Oryctolagus cuniculus: one gene and its partners. The protein of the gene in region 1 interacts with the protein of each later gene in a pairwise test. Links are inferred from orthologs where the notes say so. Each region holds a gene or a part of one and is shown in the gene's direction. Other genes may lie near its edges.

The links. The genes of interacting proteins can lie anywhere in the genome.
Region 2: the proteins of PDE6D (region 1) and ARL16 interact in binary tests that used the Homo sapiens proteins (3 or more experiments, as listed by UniProt). The two-hybrid records come from large-scale screens. The link is inferred for Oryctolagus cuniculus from reciprocal best matches to the Homo sapiens genes PDE6D and ARL16.
Region 3: the proteins of PDE6D (region 1) and RAP1A interact in a two-hybrid assay, tested with the Homo sapiens proteins (2 studies listed by BioGRID). The link is inferred for Oryctolagus cuniculus from reciprocal best matches to the Homo sapiens genes PDE6D and RAP1A.
Region 4: the proteins of PDE6D (region 1) and RND1 interact in a two-hybrid assay, tested with the Homo sapiens proteins (2 studies listed by BioGRID). The link is inferred for Oryctolagus cuniculus from reciprocal best matches to the Homo sapiens genes PDE6D and RND1.

What each region holds. Positions count from the first base shown.
Region 1 is NC_091434.1:7,549,660-7,553,740, forward strand, and holds the start of PDE6D (retinal rod rhodopsin-sensitive cGMP 3',5'-cyclic phosphodiesterase subunit delta), read left to right. Parts: upstream 1-1,275; 5' UTR 1,276-1,485; coding exon 1,486-1,535; exon of another isoform or gene 1,536-1,620; intron 1,621-4,081. UniProt on the Homo sapiens protein: Promotes the release of prenylated target proteins from cellular membranes. Modulates the activity of prenylated or palmitoylated Ras family members by regulating their subcellular location.
Region 2 is NC_091448.1:1,091,369-1,095,573, forward strand, and holds the start of ARL16 (ADP-ribosylation factor-like protein 16), read left to right. Parts: upstream 1-1,400; 5' UTR 1,401-1,482; coding exon 1,483-1,543; intron 1,544-1,629; coding exon 1,630-1,688; intron 1,689-2,744; coding exon 2,745-2,858; intron 2,859-3,055; coding exon 3,056-3,171; intron 3,172-3,501; coding exon 3,502-3,673; 3' UTR 3,674-4,205. Other genes in the region: HGS (hepatocyte growth factor-regulated tyrosine kinase substrate), read right to left, coding at 1-49, 151-235, 1,136-1,172. UniProt on the Homo sapiens protein: May suppress the RNA sensing activity of RIGI in a GTP-dependent.
Region 3 is NC_091438.1:58,749,220-58,753,454, reverse strand, and holds the start of RAP1A (ras-related protein Rap-1A), read left to right. Parts: upstream 1-1,430; 5' UTR 1,431-1,581; intron 1,582-4,235. UniProt on the Homo sapiens protein: Counteracts the mitogenic function of Ras, at least partly because it can interact with Ras GAPs and RAF in a competitive manner. Together with ITGB1BP1, regulates KRIT1 localization to microtubules and membranes.
Region 4 is NC_091442.1:52,342,807-52,347,073, reverse strand, and holds the start of RND1 (rho-related GTP-binding protein Rho6), read left to right. Parts: upstream 1-1,462; 5' UTR 1,463-1,582; coding exon 1,583-1,702; intron 1,703-2,338; coding exon 2,339-2,426; intron 2,427-4,267. UniProt on the Homo sapiens protein: Lacks intrinsic GTPase activity. Has a low affinity for GDP, and constitutively binds GTP. Controls rearrangements of the actin cytoskeleton. Induces the Rac-dependent neuritic process formation in part by disruption of the cortical actin filaments.

The sequences.
Region 1 (4,081 bases):
AATCACAGAAGCAGAAAGCACGTTTGTTGAATTACCCAGAAGGAAAAGCTGAGTGCAGAGGGTGACAAGCTGGTGAAAAGCTGGGTGCAGAGGGGGACGAGAGGAAGAAAGTCCTAGGAAAACACACAGAGCATCTCCCAGCAAGCCCGGGCTCACCCTGCGATTTTACCCACTTCCTGAAATCACATCAAATGTCACCTTGAGTGACAAAGAAAGAACAAATCAAAAGACCAAGTCCTACCAAAACAAATATCACACACTTCCTCATCTGCCAGAAATCCACCGAATAAATGCTTTACCCAACCTCTGGGTGTTCCAACCTTGGATGGGCAAACTACTCAACAAGGCGGGCAGTAATCGCACTGCCATACTGCTAAAAATATCACCTCCCAGGCTGCGGGCGACAGACTCGGGGCCGAATCCTAACTCTGCCCCAACTTGCAGTGACCTGAGGCCGGTCTCTCGCCTCTCTGGGCCTCAATTCCCTCGCACGTAAAAACAGCAGGGGCAGGATTAGCAAATTCTTTCAAGCACCTTCCCGTATTGACAGAGCACACAATCGATAGCTCTCCTGGTCCGAGGCAGGAACACACCAGAGGTCCCCGCAAAACACGCAAACGGCGCCCCCGTCCAACAAACAAGCACGGTTTGAAGAAGTCGTTTTGTTACATTCTTTCGTGGTTTAATCAGTGTTTTTGTTGTTTGCAACCTTACCATGATTTGCAGGCGATTTCTGAGTTCCATGTAAACAGAAGTTAATTCTCTGTGGGCTGTCATCGTCTTTCACCGGGCCACAGGGTCTTCCCGCCTGGTTTTCAGTCTCGGGATGCAGAAACCACCGACCTTGCCGGCAGGTTTACGAATTTGCGCACACTGCGCGGCACACTGGAGCCTAAGTTACAGAGCCTCGGGACGCGACGAATGCTGGGATTTGTAGTCCCTGGGCCTCTCTGCTGCGTGCTGGGATCTGTGGTCCCCTGGCGCTCTACTGGAATTCTGGGAAATGTAGTCCTCTGCCCCTTCGCACAATGCAACCTGCGGTCGTCTCAGGAGACTAGTGAGCCCAGCAGCAGGAGCAGGCCCCTAGAGCCTCTGCAGATGTCAAGCCAAGCCCCCACTGGGGCTAACTCTAGGCAACAACACCCAGTGAAAATTTTGTCCTATGGGACTTCTCGGGGAGGGCGCTTCCCATGGATGCTCTTCGTCCCCCTGCGAAGCCGCTGAGCGTTGCTATTGGCTGGTGAGAATGCCAATCGCCGAGGCGGGCTTTCCATTGGCTTAGGGGCGGGCGCTCCGAGACCAGAGGGAAGGAGAAGGATCAGGAGCGGGAGCTGAGGGGAGGGAGAGGCCGGTCCGGGTCTGGCCGCTGCCTCTGCTTGCCCGAGGTCTCCAGGCCGGGCTGCGGCTCTGTGCTCGCTTCCTGGGCACGGTCCGCGAGGCTCCGCAGGGCAGCGTGAGAGAGCCGCGGGCGGCGGCCGCCGCAACATGTCAGCCAAGGACGAGCGGGCCAGGGAGATCCTGAGAGGCTTCAAACTGTATCCGCCCGGGAGCGGGGAGGGGCCGGGAGGACTTGGGAGGCGGTCGCTCCCTGAGGAGACCGGCCGGGGACTGGGGCGCCAGGTGGGCCCCCGAGGAGAGGGGCAGCGAGGGGGGACAGGAAGGGGCCGAGGTCCCAGGCCCCGGCGCCACGGGGCGCGGGAGGCGGGCACGGGGGCGTCCTGAGGGCGGAGGGGGACGTTGGCGGGAGCCGCGGGCACGGGGGCGAAGGAGCCCCGGGGCCTGGGCTGCGAGGGGCGCCGGGCGCCGGCGAGGGGTGTCGGGAAGCGGGCTGGGCTCGGAGCTGCGGCCGGGAGGGGCCGCGGCCCGCCGGGGAGGGCTGAGGGGGCGCGGCGGGCTGGCCTCGAAGCCCGGCGGCGTCTTTGGCGGGAAGCCCGCCCGGGGGAGCAGAGAAGTGACTGGGAGTGAACGACCTTGCGTGGGACCAGCGCCGATGCCTGGCATTAAATACTCTCGCCCCCCCCCCTCCACGCCTCACCCCGCCTCACCCCGTCTGGTTGCCACAACTTCTTCTGCTCACTTGTGGCTTCCAGGGCTGGAGTAGCAGAGGGCGGTGGGGGGGCGGGCGCCGCTCGCCTCTCGGCCCCTCGGGTCTTCCCTGCAGCCCGGCGAGGACGCGGAGCTCGCGGGTGGTGGGATGCCTCCAGGTGCCTTGGCCGGGGTGCCTTAGGGGTGCCTGCCGCCGGGTCGTGGCGGAGCTGTCCAGCAAGGGTTGGCTTGCGCTGGGGACCCGGTCAGGTGTGAAGTCCCTGCCTCGGGCCTGGGTGGAGCCGGTAGTTAGAGAGCTTTGTGTTTTCGTGGAGGGTTAGTCTGGCCAATGTGATCTTGCATATTCCAATTTTACATTCTCCTACTGACCTTAATCTCTTCTTAGCACCCTATCCGTTCAGTGAGGAACATTCTTAAATATCGCTTTGGGTGAAAATACCGGCATCGCTTTGGGGCCCCTCCCCTGGGTGCTTAGCAAAGCACTGTTCTCTGACCCCCACCTGTCGGGTTGTCACAGTGCCCATTTCACCCCTACACATTTGAATTATTTTGTCATAGCCAGAAACCAAGTTGGTAGTAGAACACAGTGCGAGAAGAGGGTCAGGAGGTTTGGGATGTACAGATGAAAATCTCCAGTGGAATCCTGTTAGGCTTGTTTAAAAACCCAAGGCTGTGTTAGCCTTGCAGACTTCATCCGTGCTCAGCTTTCAGTACTTTCATGTGGTGGAGTTTAGGAACAACCTCTCAAAGCTCCATGTTCCCTTCTGGGTTTCTCTTCATAATGGAGCCTCGACAGGGATAGGCATAGCTCAAGTGTTCGGAGAGCTATGACATGGATTTTATTTTTTCTCTTGCATACTTTATACTTAACATATGTGTTGCAGACAGTAAACCAGAGAATTTGAGATTTTGGATTGCAATTAATGTATTTCTGAAAACCCGGAAGGTGGCTTTTGAGCAAGGCAGAAAAGGAATGCTTGAGCTTCTCACCATTCGTTCAGTCTTGGCTCTTGAACTTGTTGAGAAAGAAGCGGAGGACAAATATGAAAGAGTAGAGAGCAGGAGGTGTCAGCCCACTGGCAGGAATGGGGAATTAACCAGTTCAGCCGTGATGTTGCTGCGTCGACAAACAGGCTTTCAGGGAAAGTTTGAGTGGAGCTAAGTAAGCCCTGAGACAGGAGAGCAGCCGCATAAAGTTGGGAAGCAGTGAAGTGAGAGTGCTGGTCCTCCGTGTCCTTTACTGGCATCTGAGGATTAAGAGAGAAAAGGAAAGCAAGAACCATAGGATTTGCTGCCTTGGAATTCTAGCTTTACATTCCTGACCCCATATCCCTGCACAACTTCTGTAACCTCTACCTCAGTTTTCTCATGTAAAAATAAGAATAATAATACCTGGTTGTGAGATGAAATGAATTGATCTCCAAAGTATTCAGAAAAGCACCTGGTGTAAGCATCGTGTGCTAGCTATTGTTGCGAGAGAAATTCCAGATCATTTCTCTTGCATTTTAGTATTGATCCTTTGCCTATGAAGTATGTTGCAAGTATTTTTTTCTCAATGTATTGCTTGTCCCCTTCTTTTGTTGAACAGGATTTTTAAATTATCATTCCAGATTTATTAGTATTTCCTTCTTCTGCATGTGGCATATCGTTTAAAGAGAACTTCTTTATCCCAAGATTAATCAAATAGCCTGTTTTCTTCTCTTTTCAATATTTAGCTCCTCAGCCTAACTGCAGGGTGTTTACATGTGTGTGGTGGAGATCTAATCATTGCTTCCATAGTCGTCCCAGGACTATTCACTAAATAGCTGCTCTGTCCTTTCCTCACTGTTTTGAAATGCCATCTTTGTCTTATAGAAAGTTTCTATAAGAAATGGATTTTCTTTTTAGAATATTTCTATTTCATTGATCCATCTGTGCACATTTAGTTTAATTACTATAGTTTTATAGTATGACTTAGTATAGTCCGCAGAAGGATTGGCATTTCATGAACAGAGTACATGTGTTTAAAGTCATTGTAAAGGCCCCATAAATATTT
Region 2 (4,205 bases), on another chromosome or scaffold:
GTTCTTGTCATTGACTTTCTTCTTGATGGAATTCACCGCATACTTCGCTCTGCAGGAGAGAAGATGTGGTGAGGGCAGACGGACAGACGGCCTAGGGAGAGGGCCGAGGGCCCAGGGGGATCCAGGCCGGGGGCCCAGCCCCTCACTCACTGTGTGTCGCCCTGGCGGATCAGGTCGCAGATCTGCAGGATGGACTCCCAGTCGGTCTCCAGCAGCAGCTGGCTGGTCGCCTTGTCTGAGGGACACAGGCCATGTAAGCGCTGGCCCCCGGGGCCCTGGGCAGCCTCCCCAGCCAGGCCTTTGGACGCAGTGGGAGACCAGGGCCAGCCCCGACACGCACCGACAGCCGCAGAGGCGCTGGGGCCCCCGGTGCCGTGCAGCGCCCGTGGACTAACCACGCCCTCACGAGCCAGGGGTCCAAGGGGAGGCCGCTGGCCCGGCCCCACGGCGTGTCCCGGAGCGAGCCAGGGCTCACCCTGAAACACGGCTCCCTCGCGTCCCGGCCGCGGGCTCCGTGGACGGCCACCCTGCCTGAGCGCTCTGGGGACGAAGGCAGATCCGACTCCCGCGGGGCCACCGTGTCCCAGCCCCCGGGGCGGCAGTGGCCTACCAGGTGCGCCCTCCGCACCGACTCAGGACCACGGGGACAGAGCCCTGGGCGGCCGAGGCACTACCCGGAGCGTCCGGGGCGACGGCTGGCCTTGCGGCAGACCACGCGACCCCGGCGCAGGGACGGCCGGGGAACGTCCACTGAACTCCTGGCCAGCGCCTTCCCGCGCCGGGGCCCGGCCGCGGGAGCAGCGCCCAGGGCGGCTCCGCAGGCCCCGGCGAGGACGTGCGGGCCCGACCTTCGCCGTGACAGCAGCGCCCCGGCGGCTCCGACAGCGCCGGCCACGGCGTCCGGGACTCAGGACCTGGCGCCCTCGGCCAGCGCGGCTGCTCCCGGGGAACTGCCGCCCGCCCGCCCCGGCGACCCGCCCGCGGGCCCCGCGACGCCGGGGTCCTGCGCGGCCCTCACGGACGCCGGCCCTGGAGGCGGCCACACCCGGGGACCCAGGGGCGGCCGGGGCCGCAGGACGCGCTGACAGCGCCCCCGGCAGCGCCGGGCGGCCCGGGGGCGGGCGCGGTGCGTTACCTAGGAGACGCTCGAAGGTGCCGCCGCCTCGCCCCATGGCGACCCCGACCCGGACCGACGCCGCGGACGCTCCTCCGCTCCGAGCTGGCGCGCCCCCCGACTTCCGCTTCCGCCTTCCCCTCCAGCGCGCGCACGCGCAGCTCGCCGCTCCGGCCGAGACTCGCGAGGAGGCGGGACTTAACGCCCGTCCCTTGACGCCGTGCGTCTATTGGACCGCGGCCGCCGCGGTGGTGAGTCCAAAGAACCAATGAGCACTCTGGAAGAGAGGCTTAGCCAATGAGAGGGGCAGGGGGTGGGCCCTGCGTGTGGGCGCCGAGCGGCGGGTGCCTAGGGGCCCGGGGTCCGGGATGTGTCTGCTGCTGGGGGCGTCGGGCGTCGGGAAGACGCTGTTGGTGAAACGGCTGCAGAATATCCTTCCCGGGCGGCGCGAGGGGCCCTGGGGGGCCGGGGTGGGGACGCCGTCCGTGGGGCTCTGGTCCTTGACCGCTCCGCACAGTTGAGCTCCCAGGACGCGAAGGGCGACGTGGGGGCGCCTCCGCCGACCCAGCCCACGGTAGGTGTCGGACTCCCGCAGGCGCGACCGGAGGGGGTGACCTGTGCGGAGGCGGGTGCGGCCGCCAGCGTGTCCCTGAACTCGCCCGACGCACGGCCGCCTGCCGCCCTCCCGAGACCCCTCTCCCTGGGCCCCGGCCCGCAGGTGGGCACGCACTGCCCTCCCGAGACCCCCTCCCTGGTCGCCCCCGGGGGAGCGTCTGGGCCCCGGCCCGCAGGTGGGCACGCACCGCCCTCCCGAGACCCCTCCCTGGTCGCCCCGGGGGAGCGTCTGGGCCCCGGCCCGCAGGTGGGCACGCACTGCCTCCCGAGACCCCTCCCTGGTCGCCCCCGGGGGAGCGTCTGGGCCCCGGCCCGCAGATGGGCACGCACTGCCTCCCGAGACCCCTCCCTGGTCGCCCCGGGGGAGCGTCTGGGCCCCGGCCCGCAGGTGGGCACGCACTGCCCTCCCGAGACCCCCTCCCTGGTCGCCCCCGGGGGAGCGTCTGGGCCCCGGCCCGCAGGTGGGCACGCACCGCCCTCCGAGACCCCTCCCTGGTCGCCCCTGGGGGAGCGTCTGGGCCCCGGCCCGCAGATGGGCACGCACCGCCCTCCGAGACCCCTCCCTGGTCGCCCCCGGGGGAGCGTCTGGGCCCCGGCCCGCAGATGGGCACGCACTGCCTCCCGAGACCCCTCCCTGGTCGCCCCTGGGGGAGCGTCTGGGCCCCCGCCCGCAGGTGGGCACGCACCGCTCTCTCCTGAGGCCCCCTCCCTGGTCGCCCTGGGGGAGCGTCTGGGCCCCGGCCCGCAGATGGGCACGCACTGCCTCCCGAGACCCCTCCCTGGTCGCCCCTGGGGGAGCGTCTGGGCCCCCGCCCGCAGATGGGCACGCACTGCCTCCCGAGACCCCTCCCTGGTCGCCCCCGGGGGAGCGTCTGGGCCCCGGCCCGCAGATGGGCACGCACTGCCTCCCGAGACCCCTCCCTGGTCGCCCCGGGGGAGCGTCTGGGCCCCGGCCCTCAGGTGGGCACGCACTGCCCTCCGGGAGTTCACAACCTCTGCGTCATGGTTCCCGCAGGTGGGCACCAACCTGACGGACATCGTGGTCCAGCGGAGAATCACCATCCGGGAGCTGGGCGGGTGCATGGGCCCCATCTGGTCCAGTTACTACGGAAACTGCCGTTGTCTGCTGGTGGGTCCCGCGCCCTCCCACTCCCCCGCTGGCGTAGCGGTCCAGGGGACGGGCACCGGCCAGCTCCTCCGCGGAGAACCGACTCCCCCTGCCTGTTCCCTTCGTGGTCGGCGGCTGTGGCTGATGGCGTCTCGCCCTGCCGCCCTGGGCCGGGCCTGCGGTGCTGGGCGAGGTCCCAGGGCTCTGTTCCTCCTCAGTTCATGGTGGACGCCTCCAACCCCACCCAGCTCTCCGCGGCCTGCGTGCAGCTCCTGGGCCTCCTTTCTGCAGAGCAGCTCGCGGAAGCGTCCGTCCTGATCCTGTTCAATAAGATGTGCGGGCCTGGGAGCGGGCAGCGGGGCTGCCCCGGGCGGGGGGGCGGGGCGGGGAGCGGGGGCAGCACGGGGTGCGCGGGGCAGGCGTGCCCGGGAGCGGGGCAGCACGGGTGCGCGGGGCAGGCGTGCCCGGGAGCAGGGGCAGGCGTGCCCGGGAGCGGGGCAGCACGGGGTGCGCGGGGCAGGTGTACCCGGGAGCGGGGCAGCGCGGGGTGCGCGGGGCTGGCGGGCCCGGGAGCGGGGCAGCACGGGTGCGCGGGGCAGGCGTGCCCCGGGCGGGGAGCGGGCCCCGGGGCTGCCCGGCCTGACGGGGCGGTGTGTTCCCGCAGCGACCTGCCCTGCTACATGAGCATGGAGGAGATCAGGTCGCTGATGAGGCTTCCAGACATCCTCGCTCACGCCAGGCAGAACGTCTCCACCGCGGAAATCAGCGCCCGGAAAGGCACTGGCCTGGCGCAGGTGCTGCACTGGCTCCAGGACACCCACGGAGCCAGCAGCTGACGTAGCCCAGGGACGGGTAAACTGAGGCAGCAGGAGACTGCTGACATCTGGCCTGTGTTCCTGAGACCGTGCCTGGGGCTGGGGGAGGAGCCCGGCCTGTCCCAGTGCTTGCTGCCCTGGCCGGCCCGGCATTCTGTCGGCCTGAGGCGCCTGCGGGTGAGTGGTCCCCTGGGTGGGCAGAGAGCAGAGGTGGCCTGTGCACCCAGCGGCTGATGGGGACCCAGAGCCTTGGAAACAGGCTGTCCCCACTCGGGGCCGAGTGCGAAGTCCAGGCGTCGGCAAGGTCGGCTGCTCCCGGGGCGAAGCCGTCCGGGGCAGGCGGCCCCCACTGCCGTCCTGGCTTCCAGCAGTTCTGTGTCCACTCCTTCCCGAGGTCTGTCAGGAGGACGTCCCTCAGCAAAGCCAGGGACAGCCACACCTGCGGGCGCCCGGCAGTGGGCGAGGAGCTCCCGGGCCAGGCCAGTTTCCTGAAGCTGCGCCCTTGGCCTGGTGGCTGGGGTGCCCCTCCCACTCCAGAGCACTCGGCTGCAGC
Region 3 (4,235 bases), on another chromosome or scaffold:
CAGACTCCCCTATCCAAGTGTTTACCCAAAATCTCCACTTGAACCTTAAGCAGAACACCTGCAAAGCAGGTATCTAGATTTCTCCCACCCCTAACTTTCTCCCCTTTGTGCCTTCCCCATCTCATTAAACGGCTCCAGGATTACCAGCCACCAGGCCCTAAACCTAAGAACCATCCACGATCGTTTTGCTTCCTCACACACTGTCCCCCAAGTCCAAGTCAATGCCCGTGAAAGTGTGTGCCTAAGTAAGATTTGGGTGGGCGTTTCTCATGACACTTTGGGACACCTGCATCCCATATTGGGAGGAGAGCCTGGGTTCAAGTCTCAGCGCCAGTCCCAACTCCAGCTTCCTCTAATGCACATCCTGCAGAAGCAGGCGATGGCTCAAGTGCTCGAGTCCCTGTCACTCATGTGGGTGACCTAAATTGAGCTCCAGACTCCTAACTTGGAGGCCTGGCTCAGGAGAATCTGTTGCAGGCATTTGGGGAGTAAATCAGTGGGTGGAAGATCTCTCTCTGTCTCTTTCATTCTGCCTTTCAAATAAAATAAGCAACTAGCACATTTTTAAAAACACAAAATTATTTTAAAAAATAAATAGCGCTGTTCTCACCACACCCACTAAGGCCATCCTAGGGCAAGCTACCACCAACCACCTCACTTCCTCGGTAGCCTCCTGCAGACTTTCGTGTTCTCTGTTGTGTGCTTTACACACATCAGCAAGATTAACTTTTAAAAATCCGAACCGTAGCTCACCCTCCTCCATGGCTTCCCGTTGCCCCGCAGGGTCTGGCCCCTTGCCCACTGCACTGAGCCTCGCTGCTGGCTTCTAACTGCTCCTGCCCACAGGGCAGGCACATCCTACCTCTGCAAGTGTGGCTGATTGCCTTATTTAAGCCCCAGGTGCTCCACCCCCGGCCATCCCCCAACTCAGGTTTGCAGGGTTCATTCCATCAAGTCTGTATGTGCTCAGAGGTCTCCCAAGAGAGGCAGTATCTGACCCAACATCCACCCTACCCGCTGCTCCACTTGCCCCACACCACTTAAGACTGCCTGCAGTTGCGGTCACTGCTGTGTCTTCTGTCTCCCTCTCCCAATCCACTAGACGGCAAGCTCCAAGCCAGCCTTTGCTTTATCCGCTCCGCCTAGGGCACTGCCCGGCATCTAACTGCTGCTCAGTTAGTACTTGTGGCATGGTTGCGTTCTCTCCAATTTCTGTTCCTCCTGAACCTTTACAGCCGTCCTCATTTCATATCCGGCTCCTCTGCAAATGTGAAACTCCGCGCGCTTTCCCAGCAGTCGTCCGCTCTCCCTACCCTTTCCTGAGCAGCGGCTCCTTTAAGCGGACTCCGGATTTCCCCCCTCCCACCAGGGAAGGCGGGACCAAAGCCTGGCCGACGCCGACCCGGAGAGGCGGGGCGGAACTAAGGGGGCGGGACATGCGTCCTGCGTGCGTGCGCGTTCTGGAGGCGCCGCCGCCGCCGCTCCCGAGGCCGCCGCCGCCGTCGCCGCGCAGAGCCGGAGCCACGGCCGAGAGGAGGGAGGAGGAGGAGGAGGAGGTGGAGGAGGCGCCGGACCGGGGGGGTGAGTGAGGGGCGGGGAGCCCCAGCGAGCCCTTGAGGGAGCAGGGGGCGCGGGTCGGCCGGGCCGGGGCAGGGGCGGCTCATGTCGCCGGTCAGTCCCTGGCTCCCCCTTCCTGCTCAGCGTTCGCTCCGTGTCCGGGGCGGCGGCCCGGGGGCCTGGCCGGCGGGAGGGGCCGGAGCTCGGGAGGCCCGGCCGCCGCCGCCAGGGCCAGAGCCAACCACGCCCGCGGACCGAGCCGGTCGACTGTGGCTGGGCCTGCGGGAGACGGACGGGAGGGGCCCGGGCCGGGTGTGGGAGAGAAAGAGGACATTGTGTCCCCCACCCTCCAACTCCCCGAGGTGTCATGGCACAAACCCATTTCCCTCGCGCGTCTCCCCGGACATGGTGTCCTCGCCCCTCGCTGCTGAGAGGTGCGGAAGATTGCACTTCGCTGCCTTCTTCCTTCTCTTGCATGTTCTCTGACTAGGGTTAGGGCTTCCTTGCAGACCCGGCTCCCCTCGGAGGCGCACGCGAGGAGGCACTTGGAGGCTCGGGCACATTTTCTGTCGTCCGTCCCCTGCCGGAGACTTACGGGCGTTCTGCCCCGCTCCTGTCCACTTGTCAGGGGTTCAGGGACTGCCTTTCCTTCCTCGATCTCCCCTCACCACCACCCCAAGTGGATGGGGCTGACGTTTCTACGTCCCAGGGCGCCTCCCAGCCCCTTTCCCGCCCTCTTTCACCCCTGTCTCCTGTAGCGTGCCATGTGTTCTTCTTGTCAGCCTTGGCTTCGCCTGGGTCTCGGCTTCTGGCCCCGATGTCGTTAGTGGGGAGGTCGCGGTGTGGTTGTCGCCTCCCTTCCGAGGAGGCTCTGCAGGAGTGTCGGGTTGGTAGCACTGTTACTTGCCCCCTCACTCAGGAAGTTAGGACGGTGTCTTCAGCTGAATTGTGAAACCCACTTCTGTACTGCTAGGAGAAGAGGACACAGTGTACCCCACCCCCGCCCCCCTAGAATAGGAGGATATCATCACCGGGCTAAAATCCAGGGTGCAGGAGACCTTTGACCTCTTGAAAAAAGAACTGTGCTTAGGAGTGATGTATTCCTTTTGGGGAGGGAAAATCGTTTTGGTACTGCTTTGAAAGGAGGAGGGTGTAAGAAATAAAGTGCACCAACAAGGCAGTAGGTTCATGGGCCACAGGTAGCCACTGTTTTCCGATTTGGGGGTGACAGATGGTGATTCTGTGTGGGTTTGGTTTTTTACAGTAAGAATGAAGTATCAGCGCTTGCACTTAACTTTTTTGAAGGACTCCTACCTTCAAAAACATGCCGAAGGGCAGTCTCAGAAAAGATGCTGTTGGAAACAGGATTTGGAAACTTTCTTTGGGTTTCCTGTCTGAATGTGTGGGGGTGGGCATGCCGGTGTGTAGTGTTGCTTTTCTTTTGATGTAGTTGATTTATGTGATACTTTGACACAATAAGCCCTGAATTAGGCCCCAGACTCCTCCTCTGTCTTTATTATGCTTTCCTGTAGTGCTTTTTTTCTGAAATTCTTTCTGATATTATTTTTTAATGTGGTGTTTCAGTGAATCTTCTGTTGATTCCTTGGTATTTTGAATTGCCTTCTTTAAATATGCTTAGGTGTTGAGAGTCACACATGTTCGCTATTCATTGAATGAACTGAATGATTACAAAGATGTGTCTAGCTATTATTTATCTTCTGTCATTTTTGAGGTACCTTATGTTAGGATTTTATATTTGACATGGAATAAATGAAATAATTTTTAACCTTTTCTAGGCTGCTGACACCTTCCAGAATATAATGAAATATGTGGACACTGTCCCGAGAAAAAAAGTAACAGACATTACGCATAAAACTGCGTTCAAGGCCGGCGCCGTGGCTCAATAGGCTAATCCTCCACCTTGCGGCGCCGGCACACCGGGTTCTAGTCCCGGTTGGGGCGCCGGATTCTGTCCCGGTTGCCCCTCTTCCAGGCCAGCTCTCTGCTATGGCCAGGGAGTGCAGTGGAGGATGGCCCAGGTGCTTGGGCCCTGCACCCCATGGGAGACCAGGAAAAGCACCTGGCTCCTGGCTCCTGCCAGGATCAGCGCGGTGCGCCGGCTGCAGCGGCGGCCATTGGAGGGTGAACCAACGGCAAAAGGAAGACCTTTCTCTCTCTGTCTCTCTCTCTCACTGTCCACTCTGCCTGTCAAAAAAAAAAAAAAAAAAAAAAAAAAAAAAAAAAAAAAAAAAAAAAAAAAAAAAACTGCGTTCAGTCTCAGGGGCCCTCTGAAACCAACCATTGACACCTATCTTGGAATCCTTGAGTAGTATTCAATTTCGTATCAAAAATGTTCAGAAGCCTTGTTGCCTCTTTGTGTGGCCTCAGGAATGATGGTGTGTACACTTGCATTCCAGACGTTGGGTCTCTGGCAACAAGATATAAGACTGATTACTGTTAAAATTTTATGGGGAAAAGTTAGTCCACATTTGTAACTATTACTGGTTAGTTTTAAATTAATATGCTGACTGCTTCTAAAGTATAGAATTATTCTAGACACTTTTTAAAAAAGATTTATTTTATTTTATTGGAAAGACAGAGTTACAGAGAGAGGTAGAGAGAGAGAAAAAGGTCTTCCATCTGCTGGTTCACTCCCCAGATGGCCGCAAAGGCTGGAG
Region 4 (4,267 bases), on another chromosome or scaffold:
CCACATGGGCAACCTGAACGGAATTCCAGGCCCCTTGGCTTTTGCGTGGTGCAGACCTGGCTGTTGTGGGCATTTGGGGAGGAAACCAGTGAATAGGATTTGCCTGCCTGTCCTTCTCTTCCTCTTAAATAAATACTATTTGACTGCCTATGTTAACTTTTTCTACCCTCTGGTGATTCTAACCCTTGGAGGTGGGTGGAGCTGGAGGTGGGTGGAGGGCATGCAGGTCCCTCTGGCCCCAGAGCCTTCCACCAAGCAACCTTGTTAGACATCAGCTTATAAGTGCCAGAGGGTGGGAATTCAATGAGGGAAGAAATGTAGAAGCAGTCTGATATTTGCATATCAAAAATCTTGCCTTTGTTCCATACTCTTGTTAGGTGGGTCCCAGCCTTCCCCTGGGGGCAGCTTAGGGGAATCTCCCCAGCTCAGTGTGTGTGTGTGTGGGTGTGTGTGGGGTGCTATTAGGTCCAATAACTTCCACCCTCCTACCGTCTGCGGTGGGCCTTGGAAGGAAGACATTTAAACATCCTTTATCACGGGCAGTTGTCCCTGGGTGGGGGCAGCAATGATGGAGTTCAGATGCAGCAAGGGTTTGGAAGTTGAAGCAACCTGAACAGAGCCTTGGATTGCTCTGTTTTGCCCAATTCCCAGGAGGCCTTGTTGGGCCTGTCTAGGTTGCTGGATAATCAGTGGTTCATGTAGTTGTGTGCATCCATCCATGGTTCTGCTTAGTGTACTGGCTCCCAAAGACACCTGGGCTCTGAAAGGGTGGGCTGGTAGGCAGCTCCAGTCCCAGGCCTGGTCTTTCCAGCCTGGACTTTAACCAGGTGACACACAGCAGTCTGTGTCCATGGATGTCAGCCTGGCCCTGCACCTGTGTGATTCATCCAGGAAGCTGTCCCAGGCAGAACAAATGCTGCTGCCAGGCCTTGGGTGGGAGGGTAGCTGGCCAAATAGTCAGTGGCTTTGTTTGCTTTCTTCTCTCCCTCTGTCCCATCCCCACAGGTGGGAAGTGGCTTGGATGGGAATTAGAACATAGGTACAGGAGTCCTAGCAGGGATCTCTGCCCCCTCCGCCCCACCCCTGCCCACCACGCCCCCCTGCCTGCCCATAGTTTCCTGCTCTTCTCCTGGGACAGTCCCTACAACTCTGACTTCACCCCACTTTCTGCTTCCACGGTAGTTTATGGTTTTTGACACTCACTGATGGACACTCAAGATCTCTTCCTCGCGCTGCAAGTCTCCTGCCCCCTTCCTAATACAAATGCAAAACAGCGTGGGAGTCCCCTGTCCAGGGGGAAGCCACAGTGCAGCTTTAAGAGAAAGGGGAGAGAGGACGAGGGCGCTGACTCAGATCCTCCTACCATTGGCTGCCGGAGGGGATCCCACCTCGGTGATTGGCCGAGACAGAGCCCGCCTACTCTTGCGATTGGCTCCGCCAGGCCTATATAAAGGGCCGCGCGCCGTCCCCTCGCTCAGTCGGAGGGAGGCCGAGGATCCCGGTGGAGTTCGCATTCTGAGACGCCCCTAGCGGCACCTTCACCTCCCCGCGTCTGAGCGCCCGTTCCGCGGCGGCTGCGACCATGAAGGAGAGACGCACTCCCCAGCCAGTCGTGGTCAGGTGCAAGCTCGTCCTAGTGGGAGACGTGCAGTGCGGGAAGACGGCGATGCTGCAGGTGCTGGCTAAGGACTGCTACCCGGAGGTGAGCGCAGACCCCACCTGGCCATCCCCCGCCGCCCTCGAGCTGGAGGGCCGCCCGCCTTAGCTTCCCCCTGAGACCTGTCCCACTTCTGCTGCCCCGCTGGCTCCTCCTCACCCACAAGGCCCCGATCAAACCCCGCCCGCCTCCCTCCGCCCCGGAGTCTGCTCTCAGGAGAGCGAATTGGACGCATTTGAGTCTGGGGTTTCTGGACTGAATCGCTGCTGTCCCCCCCCCCCCCCCGAAGGTTCAGGTTTTGCTGCTCCTCTATGCTGCTGCCCTGGGCCAGGGGCTTGCAGGGGGAGAGCAGACCACGGCAGGATTGGCTGCAACTGGCAGGCAAATATGAGTGTGTGCGCCCCTGACCATTTAGGTTCGGGGCTTGTCTCTGGCTGGGGGTCCGTCACATGTCTCCTGCCATACAGCAAAGTGCCTCTGTCTCTCCAGCCTCTTCTTCCCACGTGTCCCACGTGGGCCTCCCTGCACCATGCATCCCCTCCTCTGGCTCCTGATCTCCTGTCACCTTGATGTCTTCGGTGGGTGGGTGGCTTCTGGTGTGGCCAGCACTGATCAGAGGATTATGGGGGGGGGGGGCAGGGGCCCAGTGCCCAGGTGTCACTGGTCCCTCTCTTTTCTCAGACCTACGTGCCCACCGTGTTTGAGAATTACACAGCCTGTTTGGAGACAGAGGAGCAGAGAGTAGAGCTCAGCCTCTGGGACACTTCGGGTAAGACGTGGCCCCAGATGCCCCTTTGGTACCTGTGCTGGTCGCCGCCACCTTTTAAGGGGTGGGCGGTGGTAGAAGGGAGTGTGGCGCTTGCAAGGGCAGGCAGAGAAGGAGATCTGTGGGGTGGGGGCAGTTGGATGGCCCTGGGGTTGCAGAATGGGTGAACCCCAGAAGCCACTCACTTTGGGGCCAGTTATGGGACTGGGATGTTGATGAGGAAGAAGGAGCCAGTGATACTCCTGGTGGGGGGCGGTCAGAGAGGGCTTCTACCTTTCACTGCCTGCCGCCCAACACGCAGGCACATAGCCTCAGCCAAGCCAGGACAGAGGCAGGGAGACAGGAGCCTGCCTTGAGGGAAATATTGCTCTGGCTCCACACTCCCCTGCCTGCCGCAGCTCCAAGCTCGCCACACCGCTGCGGCTCAGGAATGAAACGATGCATCATCGGGTGTTTGGGGCGGGTGGGGGAGATGGCTTAATACAGGACAGAGTCCCGCTGTGCGAGGTGGCTCATGGGGCGGAGGGGGCTTGGTTGGCACTGACTGTTTCCCCTGGCCGGGGTGAGGCAGGAGACGCTGTCGTTCTAGAACATAGAAAGCAATGTTTCTCAGCCTCCTGGCCCTGAGCCCTTCATGCCCGGCTATCCTTTGCTTTGATCCTTAGCCTCTCCCGCTATCTTTGTATCCCGGTTTCCTTCTAATAGACTGGCTGAGAGTCACAATGAAGGAGTAAATATCAGGAACAGGAAAAAAGAAAATAAAAAGCCCCCCTGCTCCCCCCAAATACAGTTTCAGGCTGAGTTTAAAGGGGAACACCAAATCACTAGAGGTTTATGTTACATATATTTAGTACACTGTCCTGCTCTCCCAAATATCTCCAATGTTGAGATGACTGGGGGTAGGGAAGTGGGGGGGGCAGAAAATGAGACTCCCCTTGCTCCTCATGCTCCCCCACCCCCTCCCCGCCAAACAGAAATTTCTCAAGCCGGTGTGCTTTCCCCCAGGTGGAGGTTCCAGGGGTGGGGAGGCGGGGTCTGCTCCTGGACCGCGCTGCTGTGCCGGTTGGCTGGGACTGGAATGCAGGGCTGCATGATGTATGGTTTTTCTTCCGCTGTGCCCTCCCACCTCCCGGTCTTACTGCAGCTCATCTCCCGTTCACTACCACCGCCCCAAAACCTCTGCTGCTTCCTCACCCACCCCTCACCTGCCCCCCGCAGCAGCCCTTGAATCCCAATCCGATAATGGAGAATCAGGTGGTGAGTGAGCTCTCTTTCCCTGTGTTGTAACCCCACTCCCCAGTTTCCAAAGGCAGGCAGGCTCTCAGTCATCCTCAAACTCCCCCCTCTTTCAATAAGGTTCCCCATTAGAAAGGAGGAAGTGGCAGAGTTCTGCGGGATGGGGCTTCCCAGCCTTGGGGCTGGGCCCCCTCTTCCCATCAGTCCCTGGCTCATCTTAGGGGAGGGAGATTGCTTGGAGCCCAAGCGATGGCCCTGCCCTCCCTCCGCCCCCAGGACTGCAGCGCTCTCTTCGCCTTGCCGTGGGAAGACCACCCCCCACCTCCCGGCTCCAAGAGGGATACGGGCAGATTGCTGAAGGAGTGGGCAGCTATCCCAACTCCCCCTTACTGCTTTTATTGTAATGACCAACGCCCCCCCCCAAGCTTGGATTCCCCCCCAGTTTCCATGGCAATTGCGGAGTAGGGAGAGGGGCTGCTTGCTGTTCTGAGCAGGGATTGTCTGGATTCCAAATCTGCCACTATTCCTTCCCCAGGGTGTAGAAGGGGCAGGCTCCGTCCCTAGCATCCACCCAGGTCAGCCCACTGGTGCCTCCTTGCCCAAGAAGG